Xenopus tropicalis: one gene and its partners. The protein of the gene in region 1 binds, or shares a complex with, the protein of each later gene. Links are inferred from orthologs where the notes say so. Each region holds a gene or a part of one and is shown in the gene's direction. Other genes may lie near its edges.

Evidence for each region.
Region 2: xpo1 (region 1) and xpo5 share a complex: the UniProt entries of both Homo sapiens proteins name them as parts of the nuclear export receptor complex. The link is inferred for Xenopus tropicalis from reciprocal best matches to the Homo sapiens genes XPO1 and XPO5.
Region 3: the proteins of xpo1 (region 1) and pkia are in contact, whole or in part, in an NMR structure (PDB 2L1L), measured with the Homo sapiens proteins. The link is inferred for Xenopus tropicalis from reciprocal best matches to the Homo sapiens genes XPO1 and PKIA. Residues at the interface, in NP_003391.1 of Homo sapiens: Val518, Lys522, Leu525, Cys528, Glu529, Lys534, Lys537, Ala538, Ala541, Ile544, Phe554, His558, Lys560, Phe561, Thr564, Lys568, Phe572, Glu575, Thr576, Val580; in NP_006814.1 of Homo sapiens: Asn36, Leu38, Ala39, Lys41, Leu42, Ala43, Gly44, Leu45, Asp46, Ile47, Asn48, Glu51.

What each region holds. Positions count from the first base shown.
Region 1 is NC_030681.2:33,543,365-33,547,405, forward strand, and holds the start of xpo1 (exportin-1), read left to right. Parts: upstream 1-1,179; 5' UTR 1,180-1,406; exon of another isoform or gene 1,407-1,931; intron 1,932-4,041. UniProt on the Homo sapiens protein: Mediates the nuclear export of cellular proteins (cargos) bearing a leucine-rich nuclear export signal (NES) and of RNAs.
Region 2 is NC_030681.2:2,540,405-2,544,524, forward strand, and holds the start of xpo5 (exportin 5), read left to right. Parts: upstream 1-1,317; 5' UTR 1,318-1,361; coding exon 1,362-1,577; intron 1,578-3,380; coding exon 3,381-3,502; intron 3,503-4,120. UniProt on the Homo sapiens protein: Mediates the nuclear export of proteins bearing a double-stranded RNA binding domain (dsRBD) and double-stranded RNAs (cargos). XPO5 in the nucleus binds cooperatively to the RNA and to the GTPase Ran in its active GTP-bound form.
Region 3 is NC_030682.2:123,166,159-123,170,474, forward strand, and holds the start of pkia (cAMP-dependent protein kinase inhibitor alpha), read left to right. Parts: upstream 1-1,509; 5' UTR 1,510-1,633; intron 1,634-4,316. UniProt on the Homo sapiens protein: Extremely potent competitive inhibitor of cAMP-dependent protein kinase activity, this protein interacts with the catalytic subunit of the enzyme after the cAMP-induced dissociation of its regulatory chains.

The sequences.
Region 1 (4,041 bases):
ATGCAGCATTCCCTTCCAACAGGCGTGTCGCAGTGGATGCCAAAAGTTTACATGTAATTTACACATTAGATTTTTGTATCAACCTCATTATATTTTGATCCAGATGACTACAGTCAACTTGTTGGATGCGTTTTGACGATCTGATATCATCCGGCAAAAGTCCTTGTGGCCCTAAAGCAGAGACCCTTCAGGAGTTCTGTTAGGCCTATGGCACATGGAAGTGTCTACTTTGCCAGTGTTTAACAGCAGGTGAAAAGCATCTGACTGTAAGCTGTTAAGCCTGCCATTTATTTTAATGGAATCTTCATCCCTACATTGGTCACACGAAAGATTGTTCCCACCCTCCACTGACGTTCAGGGCTGAATCATCAGATATGGAGGTAGAAACAATGGATGTTCAACCTCCACCTGCCAATTCAGCCCTGAATGTAGATTTTACTTGGGCGCCTTCAATATCTGCAGCCTTTTGCGAGATCGGTTGCCTGTTTGAGCCGCCATACAGGCACCGAATGTCAATAGCGCTGTGTGTATGGCCGGCTTCAGTATGTTTGTCCAGTATATAAACCAATTTATTGCACAGCACCGCAAAACATATTGCTTTTCCCAGGATCTCAAAGGTTTAGTTAAAATTTGCAACATGGTCCAAATGCATAAGGCCTTTTTTGACCCACCATTATTTCTGATTTTCTATTGTTTTGTGCTCCCTGACTAGAAGGATTTGACCTACTGAATCTGATGCATGTATTGCTAATCCACATCTGCTATTACACATAAAATATAATAACGAATAAAGGCAAAAAGCCTGAAGCGTTTAAGCAAAAAAAAAAAACCCACCCTCACATGGCGCAGTAATGCCATTGATTTACTTTAAGCAGCTCCCAAAGAAGGAAAACAAAACGTTAACAACACGACTTCTGCTCGCCTTACGCACTGCATTGAACTCAAACAGCACATTGGCGGGGAAACTGGTCCTGTTTCTACGGTAACCAAACCTTGCCCCTTGACTGGCATCCTTTCTCCACCAATCAAAATTCAATAGCATCCCTACATCGTCATCGCTCCATCCCACTCCGCCTTCCACAGGCACTTCGCGGCAAAGGCCTTAAAAAAAAATAAAAAAGAGAAAAGGGGCGGCTCAAGCAGACATTGACGGACGCCACCCCCGACCAATAGCCGAATTCACGCGAACAGACCTGGGCCAATCAGGCGCTCTGCTGGGAGGAGTTGCACAGGTTTCCAAACGCTCGGCGGCGCCATGGGCTTGAGAACTCAACGGAGATGGAATGTCCCAGTCTGAACCGGTTTCAGCCGGTTGTTAGTGTGTGGCATTAGAGCTGAAGAAGCGCCTCTTTCCAGCCTCCAAGCCCTGCTGCTCCGCGCGTTTACGTTGGAGGGCTAAACAACAGGTAGCAACAGAAAGGATTTCGTCCTGTACAATGTGCAAGGGCCCCGACTGAGGACTACTAGCGCCAGCAGTGAAAAAGCAAGCCCGTCCATTAATTACACCCCCAGTATTTACATTTTCCTCCTCCAGTGGGTGTGAAGAGCAAGCCCCCTGCCTGGGCCTACGGATCTAATCCTGCTTCCCCTTCATCTCATTGCTTTTGGGCCGTGTCCCTCATTCACTGGGACACATTATTATTTATATTCCTTTTTTTTTGCCAAGGCAATAAAGCAGCAATACGTTTGAGTGGTAAAATTCTTACTGAGAAAGGGTAACCCGCCCATACACAGCCCCACGCATGTACATGTGTCTGGGGGTGCGCTACTGGTAAGAAGTGTATCATTCGTTGTGGGGGAATATTCTGGTGGATTACTGAAAAATAACAAAATACAGTTTGAGCCGTCACCCTCCTGCTCCCCCTTTACTTCAAGTGGTTCAGCCCCATTCTCTCGTATTGTGCTGAGGAGAAGGCAGCTCCCCGCTCTCGGTAAGTGCAACTGGGATGAGGCCCTAGCTGGTGTGTGTAAGGGCTCTGCTGAGTGTGTGCAAGATGTAGCTCAGAAACTGTTGTTGAACTATAACTCACAGATGGGAAAGTGAGAACTAGTTAAAGAACAGCTTTAGGACTGCAGTGTTGGTTCACCCAACTCATTGGGTCGCCCTACAAACGTATGAGAGAAAACAAGAGTGTAAATGATTTGTTTATTAAAGAGTTGATAAAGCTGTAACATGTTTAGGAATGATAACTTATTTTTTCTTTTAACTACAGACTTGAAGAACCAATTTTTAAGCAGATCCTTTATGTGTTGTAACAAGGGTTCTTTTCTCTTTCACCTGAGCTCTGGCTGTCAGGGAATGCTGGGAACTGGAGTGCAGCAGCTTGCCTTGTTACACCTACCTTTTTCTCATTCAGCTTCAAAGACTTTAACATAGTTATTGGTTACTTTAGGGTTCTGCTTTGCTTTCAAAATTATGTTATTGTTGTTGTTTTAATGTTTTGGATGCAAGCTTTGAGTTGTAGTCTGGGAAAATCTTCAGCATGTAAGATCCATGATGTTTTTTTATCTTGCAATAATGTTGCTGTTACTGGTTTTGGGAAGTAATCGGATAAAAAATGGTAGTTTTATCTTTTACTCCTGCTTTTTCCATGAAAGCTGTTTTGCTGTTGCCAGTACCAAAACCAGCTACTGATCTCCATGTGACTGCCCCCCCTCAAAAAAAGAAACAAAGTATTTACACCATTGTGTATCTAATAAGTGTGCCTGTTGTGTGTTAGCCCCCTCTTCTACTGTTTAGACTGGTTTGTGTAATTCTGCATGAAGTGTGTCCACGTAGGTTTAGTGAATACTTCAGTAAAGAGAAAAATGTGATTCTCCCTCCTTTAGAATGTATGAGTTACATGGCCCATGCTATTATCCCAAAAAACCAAAAGGGGGGGGGGGGGGGGTGAAATGAGTGAGACGGATCAGCCCCCTCTGTTTGAATGAATCCTCCTCCTCCTCTTAACAAGGCATGGATGAGTAGGCCTCATGTCTCAAGGGGACTTCCGTTGCAATGTAGGTGTGCTTTGGGGAGTAGGTATTCATCTAGGTGACACAGTCCGACTTACTGGGGCTCCTGTTTTTTTTCTTTTCTTTTAGTCAGTTCTTGGTAGAGTGGAAATTTCCAGAAATATTAGTGTATAGTATGGAGAGGTCTGTGAATGTCACGTGCTGAGGAGGGAGGGGCAGCTGGGAGAGGCTGCTATGTATGACATGGACTCACTATAGCGCAGGGCTTTTACTACTACTACCCGGATGATTGCCTTTATATTTGACCCTGTGAGCCTTTCATGTTGCTAGAATGTATTGTACAGTGAATCGTTCACATCCTAAACTGATTGTATGAAAAATACTGCCTATGCTACTCAGTTTGTGAACTATCATACTTTTGTCTTAGCATTGTAATGTGTGGATTTTTTTTTTTCTTTTGCTTCAACATTTTTAACTTGTGCTTTAAGAATTTTATAGCTGAAATGGAGTTGTGTGGCCTTTGGTCCCGAGTGCTTATAGTGCTTGTTGAGAACACTGCTGCCTTGTCATGTGTGAATGAGCAAAGGAGATGTTTACCAATACTGAAAGTATAACTAAGAACTACAAGCTAAACTAGTTTTTATGCTGTAGGAAATATTGCTTTAATGCCTTAAGTGGAATGGAATTAAGGCATGCTATGCCTTTACATCCTGCCTGTAGTGTATTGGCACTTCTGGTTTATCTGTACAGCTACATTTCCTAAAATTATGTCATTAAGTAGAACATTGTATGTTCGTGCAAATAATGTAACTAATTTGAAATTTAGTTGATACACTTTTTGTTGTATAGTGTTTTTTGTTGTAAAGTGTTTTGCCAATGCAAAGCCAGTACAGGAGTGTTTATGTAATGTGGCCATCTTTGAACAGTTGCATTATGCTCTATGATCTTCAGATTTTGAATTACCAGAGTAAGCTTTAAGCTTGCTCTAACATTCAGGTTATATAATAGGTGTATTTAAAGTCTCCTTCACGTTTAGTTTAAGACAAAGTACTGCAGAGCTACCAGGTTTAGAAATGTATACCAGGA
Region 2 (4,120 bases), about 31 Mb from region 1:
ACAATTCAGCAGGAACAGCCCCCTAAGTTTGCCCATAGCCTGTACAGAGAGATACTGTAAAACTATGGCACATAGGGATTCCCCTGTACTAAGCACAATTCAGCAGGAGCAGCCCCCTAAGTTTGCCCATAGCCTGTACAGAGAGATACCGTAAAACTATGGCACATAGGGATTCCCCTGTACTAAGCACAATTCAGCAGGAACAGCCCCCTAAGTTTGCTCATAGCCTGTACAGAGAGATACCATAAAACTATGGCACATAGGGATTCCCCTGTACTAAGCACAATTCAGCAGGAACAGCCCCCTAAGTTTGCCCATAGCCTGTACAGAGAGATACCATAAAACTATGGCAGCATAGGGATTCCCCTGTACTAAGCACAATTCAGCAGGAACAGCCCCCTAAGTTTGCTCATAGCCTGTACAGAGAGATACCATAAAACTATGGCACATAGGGATTCCCCTGTACTAAGCACAATTCAGCAGGAACAGCCCCCTAAGTTTGCTCATAGCCTGTACAGAGAGATACCATAAAACTATGGCACATAGGGATTCCCCTGTACTAAGCACAATTCAGCAGGAACAGCCCCCTAAGTTTGCTCATAGCCTGTACAGAGAGATACCATAAAACTATGGCACATAGGGATTCCCCTGTACTAAGCACAATTCAGCAGGAACAGCCCCCTAAGTTTGCCCATAGCCTGTACAGAGAGATACCATAAAACTATGGCACATAGGGATTCCCCTGTACTAAGCACAATTCAGCAGGAACAGCCCCCTAAGTTTGCCCATAGCCTGTACAGAGAGATACCATAAAACTATGGCACATAGGGATTCCCCTGTACTAAGCACAATTCAGCAGGAACAGCCCCCTAAGTTTGCTCATAGCCTGTACAGAGAGATACCATAAAACTATGGCACATAGGGATTCCCCTGTACTAAGCACAATTCAGCAGGAACAGCCCCCTAAGCTTGCCCATAGCCTGTACAGAGAGATACCATAAAACAGTATATATTCACCCTTTGTTGGGCCCCTAACGCTGTTAATTTCCAGCAGTTGCTTCTGTACGTAGCCTATAGCGCATTTCCCACAGACACTATAGGTGAGTGCTTACAGTTAGTACCAATGCCCTGACCCTATCAGGCTCCCGTACAGTTCCGGGGAACTCTATTTCCCAGCAGCAGAAATCTCAGTAAGTCATTAGCGCATGCGCGGTACAGTCACTAGGAAGAGCCGTAGATTGAGCCGCAATCGCTTAATGAGCAGCCGTAAAGCAATCCCGTGTGCCCGGGAGGAAATGACGTTGCGGAGAGACGCGTGTAGTTTGGAGCATGCGCAGTGAGGGCGCTGGGACTGAGTGCGCATGCGTGAGGGCTCCCATGCCGTAGACTGGGGGCGCAGGCGCAGTGGGGCTGCTGGTTCCTCACACACTGAGAGACTGAGAGAGCGGGGAGCTTGGGAGCCTCAGTCTCCAGCGATGGACGAGCAGGTACCGGCTCTGTGCGAGCAGCTTGTCCGGGCGGTCACTGTTATGTTGGAGCCCGAGTCCCGTCAGGAATATCGCCTGGAAGCGCTCAAGGTACCGGTACCGGCTGGGTAATGGGGACTGGGGGGATGGGGTAACGTGGGGTTATATACAGGGGCAGGTAGGAAAGGGGGGTATTAGGGGCTGAGGGAACAGTGTGCAAGGTTTGTGGGGCAGTGAGACCAACCACTCACTCACTCACACACTCACACTCACTCACACTCACCCACTCACTCACTCACCCTCACACTCAGTCTCACACACTCACTCACCCTCACACACTCACCCACTCTCACACTCACCCACTCACACCCACCCACTCACTCACTTACACTCACTCTCACACACTCACACTCACCCACTCACTTACACTCACTCTCACACACTCACCCACTCACTCACTTACACTCACTCTCACACACTCACCCACTCACTTACACTCACTCTCACACACTCACCCACTCACTCACTTACACTCACTCTCACACACTCACACTCACCCACTCACTTACACTCACTCTCACACACTCACCCACTCACTTACACTCACTCTCACACACTCACCCACTCACTTACACTCACACACTCACACACTCACTCACTCTCACACTCAGTCTCACCCACTCACTCTCACACTCACTCACACTCACCCTCACTCTCCCTCACTCTCACACACTCACTCACTCTCACACTCAGTCTCACCCACTCACACTCACTCACCCTCACACACTCACACTCACCCACTCACACACTCACTCACTCACACTCACCCACTCACACCCACCCACTCACTCACTTACACTCACTCTCACACACTCACACTCACTCACTCACTTACACTCACTCTCACACACTCACTTACACTCACTCTCACACACTCACACTCACCCACTCACTTACACTCACACACTCACTCACCCTCACTCTCACCCTCACTCTCCCTCACTCTCACTCACTCACTCTCACACTCAGTCTCACCCACTCACTCACTCTCTCACACTCACCCTCACTCTCCCTCTCACACTCACTCACTCACACTCAGTCTCACCCACACTCTCACACTCACACTCACTCACTCTCACTCACTCTCACACTCAGTCTCACCCACTCACTCACTCTCTCACACTCACCCTCACTCTCCCTCTCACACTCACTCACTCACACTCACCCACACACTCACTCACCCTCACTCACACTCACTCTCTCTCACTCACTCTCACACTCAGTCTCACCCACTCACTCACTCTCACACACACTCTCACACTCACCCTCACTCACTCACTCTCTCACTCACTCACACTCAGTCTCACCCACTCTCTCACACTCACTCTCACACTCTCATTCTTACTCACCCTCATACACTCACTCTCACACACACTTACACTCACACACTCACTCACACACACTTACACTCTCACTTACACTCACTCTTACTCACCCTCATTCACACACTCATTCATTCATTCACTCACACACAGAATCTATTGTTATTTAGTCAGCATTTACCCTTACAGGCCCCCCTCCCATACTGCCCCAGTGCTGCCCCTGATAATGAAGTGCTGCACAGAGGGTTTGGCAGTTGTTGCCCAGGCCTGGGGGTGAGTGCCAGGCAGTAAGGGCCACTCTATCCTGGCCCCCTGACAGCTGGGAGGAACATGTAGGGGCAGACATGGCCGCTGCACTTTATTCCCAGGTACGGCTAGCAGGGCAGCATGGGGTCTGGCCCAGTCCTGTTTGGGATGGGGGTCTGGAATTATATTTGTCACTTTTACTGATTTTATTTATAAACATATATCCCCACCCCCCCCCCCACCCCCCGGTTACTGAGGTTTATTCTTTTCTCTGCTGCCCCCCCAGTTCTGCGAGGAGTTCAAGGAGAGAAGCCCCCTCTGTGTGCCCTGTGGCCTGCAGCTGTCCAACCGGAGCCATTCCCCCTGCGTCCGGCACTTCGGCCTGCACGTCTTGGAGCATGTTATAAAGTAAGCAGCAGTCTCTCTCTGCCCCGTCTGTGCTCTCCCTTCTGCCGCCGCCGCTGTCTCGGTACCGTACTAATGGTTACTGGGTCCATGGGAAAGGTCCAAATGTATGAATGGATTTTCTGTTCCCTCCAATCAACTTGAGCCCTTCTAGTTTCCCACAACAAACAGACAGGTTAATTGGCTCCTGATTAAATTGGCACTAGTGTTTGTGTGAATGTGATAGGGGCCTTAGATTGTAAGCTCACTGGGGCAGGGGCTGATGGGAATGGGATAGGGGCCTTAGATTGTAAGCTCACTGGGGCAGGGACTGATGGGAATGTGATAGGGACCTTAGATTGTAAGCTCACTGGGGCAGGGACTGATCGGAATGTGATAGGGACCTTAGATTGTAAGCTCACTGGGGCAGGGACTGATGGGAATGGGATAGGGACCTTAGATTGTAAGCTCACTGGGGCAGGGACTGATGGGAATGTGATAGGGGCCTTAGATTGTAAGCTCACTGGGGCAGGGGCTGATGGGAATGTGATAGGGACCTTAGATTGTAAGCTCACTGGGGCAGGGGCTGATGGGAATGGGATAGGGACCTTAGATTGTAAGCTCACTGGGGCAGGGACTGAT
Region 3 (4,316 bases), on another chromosome or scaffold:
AATACAGAAAGACCCCTTATCTGGAATACCCTTGGTCCCGAACATTCTGGATAATGGGTCTGTAGGGACCCATAGGGTTAAGCTCCCTATGGTGTTATCCCTTATTCTTATCTAATCTGTATTGTTATAGGGCAGAGCCCTCTGATATCAGGTTACTGTTATTAGGCTGCCCTCTATAGGTTTAGCCCAGGTTGACCACTCCCCTTGGCAGACTATATAGTATCTTGCTCAAGGGAGTGTCTTCCTCTTTTGGCTGCATGCTGTGTTCTGGACAGATCCCAACTGAGCCTGGACCAGAACATAGGCCCAGAAGCCATTTGTACCCTAGGGGACCACCTACCCTAGTGATAAGTCGGGGACAGGGCCCCGTGAACGAGGTAAAGCCAGCACAGTCAGTTTCATTTATAGCACCCTCTAGGAGAGGTGATTGTAGTCAGACTATTTAGCAAGGGCAGTCAATAGCCCCAACCAGGAGTTGTAACAAAGGGTTTAGTCCACCCCGGCTCTGTAGTCGTTCTTTAGGGACCGGTTTTATTAGACGCCAGGTACCAGTGTTAGGAGCTCTCCCCTGGACCACAGTCGGCCGGAACACTCCCTTCTGAAAGGTCTATATCTCAGGTGTCAACTAATCCTCTGTGCATCCTCCAAGTGGGTTATTCTGTGCCTAAGTGTCACCTTTGTATATTCCACGGTGATCACACATTCTATACTGCTGTGTCTGTGAGTATACCCTGCTGCACTATTAAGCTGTGCCTTTGTCCAATAAATTGTACTATAGTTCATGAGCAAGAACCTTTCTGGCGTCCATTATTCCATCTGCACCACACAAGCTCTTACCTAGTTGTAGTTCAACTACACCCTCAGCTCCATTAATACCTCCCATATAGCGGAGGCCCACTCCTGTGTATTAAGGTCGCATGTAACACATGCTCTATACCTATTACTAGCCTGGGTTGGCCATTTTATAGCCAAATAGGTGTTACAGGTCTTATACCTGTACTTACAAAAGCAGCATTAGCATGACCTATAGGTAACTTTCATTGTACATTAATATTTTGAAAAGTAGTTTTTTAGTGTCAGTATCACTTTAATGGCTCATAGAAAAAATTATTCTATCAAGTGAATTTTCTCATTCAAACTTTGCAGGTATCTCCCACATTAAAAAAATACCTGGATTTGGAAATTTATATCTATATCTAGAAAAACAACTGCACTGAAATTCCTGCCACTGCAAAGAATTCCAAAGAATACAAAGAACCCATTACAGCAGCCAACAGTGGAATTATGTGTACACACTTATCCTTCATGCCCTGCTTTGTTATTGGCTTAGGAAATTTCTAGTGCACATATATCCCAGGCATGCAGATAATGCAAGAAACCTTTTCCCAGTTGATTCAATTTCCTAATCCATACCAATAAAGTTATATGAAGAAAAAAAGAGAGAGCTGTAGACAGGCGTGACAAAAGCCTCCAAAAAAACAGAATCAGCAGCTGCTGTCTGGCCGAGGAACGCTCACAGCATCTGCCTCTTAATATCGCGTAATCGAGCCTTTGCAGCAGCAGCTGAGCAATATTACAGCACAACGGAGGAACCCTGCTGTGCTGGACATTTCTGTGGCAGAAGAGAAAGAAGGTAAGATTCCTTTTTTTCTTGCATCTGATATATAATTTGCTGCAGCTAAAGGAAATGGCTGATGGACTTTTTGTTTAAAACAGCTTGTGTCACAGGCACATTCAGAGAGTGGGAAATCAGAGCCGCTCTCCTAGAGAGACTGGCAGAATGACCACGACAGAGCTTGCCATGACCTAGGGATAAAAAAAAGCATCCTTTGTTTAATGTTTAGCAAGCCCTGTGATGCTCTAATTGCCATTTGTCACTTGCAGTCATATAAAAAGCACAATAGGAAGCAGCGGTTGTTTCTCAGGGAGGAAAATGAGGTGTATCGGAAATTACAAGTCTTTTGCCTCTGCTCCTGGTAATTGACATAAAACAGTAGGGGTCCGTGTACTGTAGGAAAAGAACTAAGCAGAAATCTCAGTCCATTTGGTTGATGATTAATTATTGAGCCCATACAATGTCCCTGTTTGCAGCATGAGTACAGCAGGAACATTCCTAAGAGCTATTTGTCCATAAAGAGGGTACCAAGTAGGCCATGCATTGTTGCCAAGCAACAGCATCTGCCATCTTCTTAAATAACATAACTGTTCATGCCAAAAAGGTAATACAGGTATAGGACCCATTATCCAGAATGCTCGGGACCAAGGGTATTCCGGATAAGGGGTCTTTCCGTAATTTGGATCTCAATACCTTAAGTCTACTAAAAAATCAATAAAACATTAATTAAACCCAATAGGATTGTTTTGCATCCAATAAGGATTAATTATATCTTAGTTGGAATCAATTACAAGGTTCTGTTTTATTTCTACATAGAAAAAGGAAATCAGTTTTAAAATTCTGAATTATTTGATTAAAATGGAGTCTATGGGAGACGGGCATTCCGTAATTCGGAGCTTTCTGGATAACGGGGTCCGATACCTGTATAATGAAAACAACCAAATATCTAGTATAAATAAATTTAAAGCTACTGGACTTGTTTGGTAGTCCAGTTGCTTTAAATTTATTTATACTAGATATACCATGACCTGGATGAATGAAAATCTTCATAGACAAAACAACCAAATGTTTCTGAGAAAAACATTGGGTATCTGGTATTATCTGCTTCAGTGTCTTTAGTGTTTAGTTGTATGGATTAAATGACTAGTCTTAGAGATTGGGGATTACACAGCGTTGATTAAGGAGCAAGGTTTATATGAAATGTATCTCACATTCTGAGATGGATTAAGATCAGGTTAAGGACTCAAGAACTGTAGTGATTTGGGGGCTCAAACTTCCACTGTCCCCACATTATTGCCTTGCTGCTGCCCCTGGAGTACTGGAGTACTGGGGCCCTGGGTAGGAATCTGGGGAACCTTGTGCATAATCTGGCTCTGCAAGGAAATTAAAACATATGGATACACTAAATCATTCCAACTATTTTTCATATGAAGAAAGATCAAAGCGTTATTTAACTTAAAAAAGCCCTTTAATTACATACAATGTTATAATATTATATATAATATAATATATATATAAAGTTATTATACAATAACACAATAAATCCCTGAATTGCCAGTTTGCACTGGCCTAGCAAGTAGGGCCCTGTTTCTTAACCTTGGGTCCCTAGATATTGCTGGACTACAGCTCCCAGCATTAACTAACATGTTAAAATGGTTTAATGCATCCTAGGAGTTGTAGTTCAGTAACATTTAGGGACCCAAGGTTAGGAAACAAGGCACTTAAAAAGTTAATTGGTGTCCTGGGATTCTTTTAGCCAGTAAAACCTATGGCTTCTATAAGTTATTTGGTGTTTCTTAAGGTGGCCATACACGGGCCAATTGTAGCTGCTGATATCAGTCCCTTGGACCGATTCGGTAGCTTATCAGCTCGTGTAGAGGCACTAACGACGGGCCTGCCCGACTGATATCTGCCCTGAAATTGCCCAGATATCGATCGGGCAGGCTAAAAGATTTAGTCGGATCAGGGACCGCATTGGCTCGTTGATGCGGTCCCCGAACCGACTGTGCCATTTCCGCCATTAGAATTCGATCGTTTGGCCCCCCCCATCAAATTAGCCTACATTTTCCCGATATCGCCCACCTGTAGGTGGGGATATCGGGAGAAGATCTGCTCGCTTGGCGACCTCACCAAGCGAGCGGATCTTAACGTGTATGGGCACCTTTAGAGTGCACACCATGGCGTGTGTGAAATAACTTTTCATTTTGTACAAAGACCTTCTATTTTCCAGTCTACAAATTAATAGCAAATTGAGTTCTTGGAAAGGAAAAATCATGAAATGAGTTATTGACACAAAAGTGTAAGTGGAGTACAGTAACCCTGGTGATTATTACAATAACATGAGCGATATTTGTTATAGTCATGTATCCCACAGCAACCAGAAATTTGCTCTTATCATTCTCACTGCACTAGACTGGTCTCCAATCACTGCTGATCCATAGCCATGGTTTACTGCAGTGCTGTCCAACTAATTCAATGTACTGGGCCAAGTATTTCTCATATAGCATGTTCAAGGGCCAGATTCAATTAAAATGATGATGTCTTACAGTAAGGTCTGTAAAGCATTTAAAGAGGAACTTTTGAACCAATATTTGTTAAAGAGCCCCACAAAACACAGAAACTCCTAATACACCTATCACTGTAACCTGTTCCTTCAAATGTATGAATAAGTTCCATCTTGATATGCTAAAATCCAGCGGCA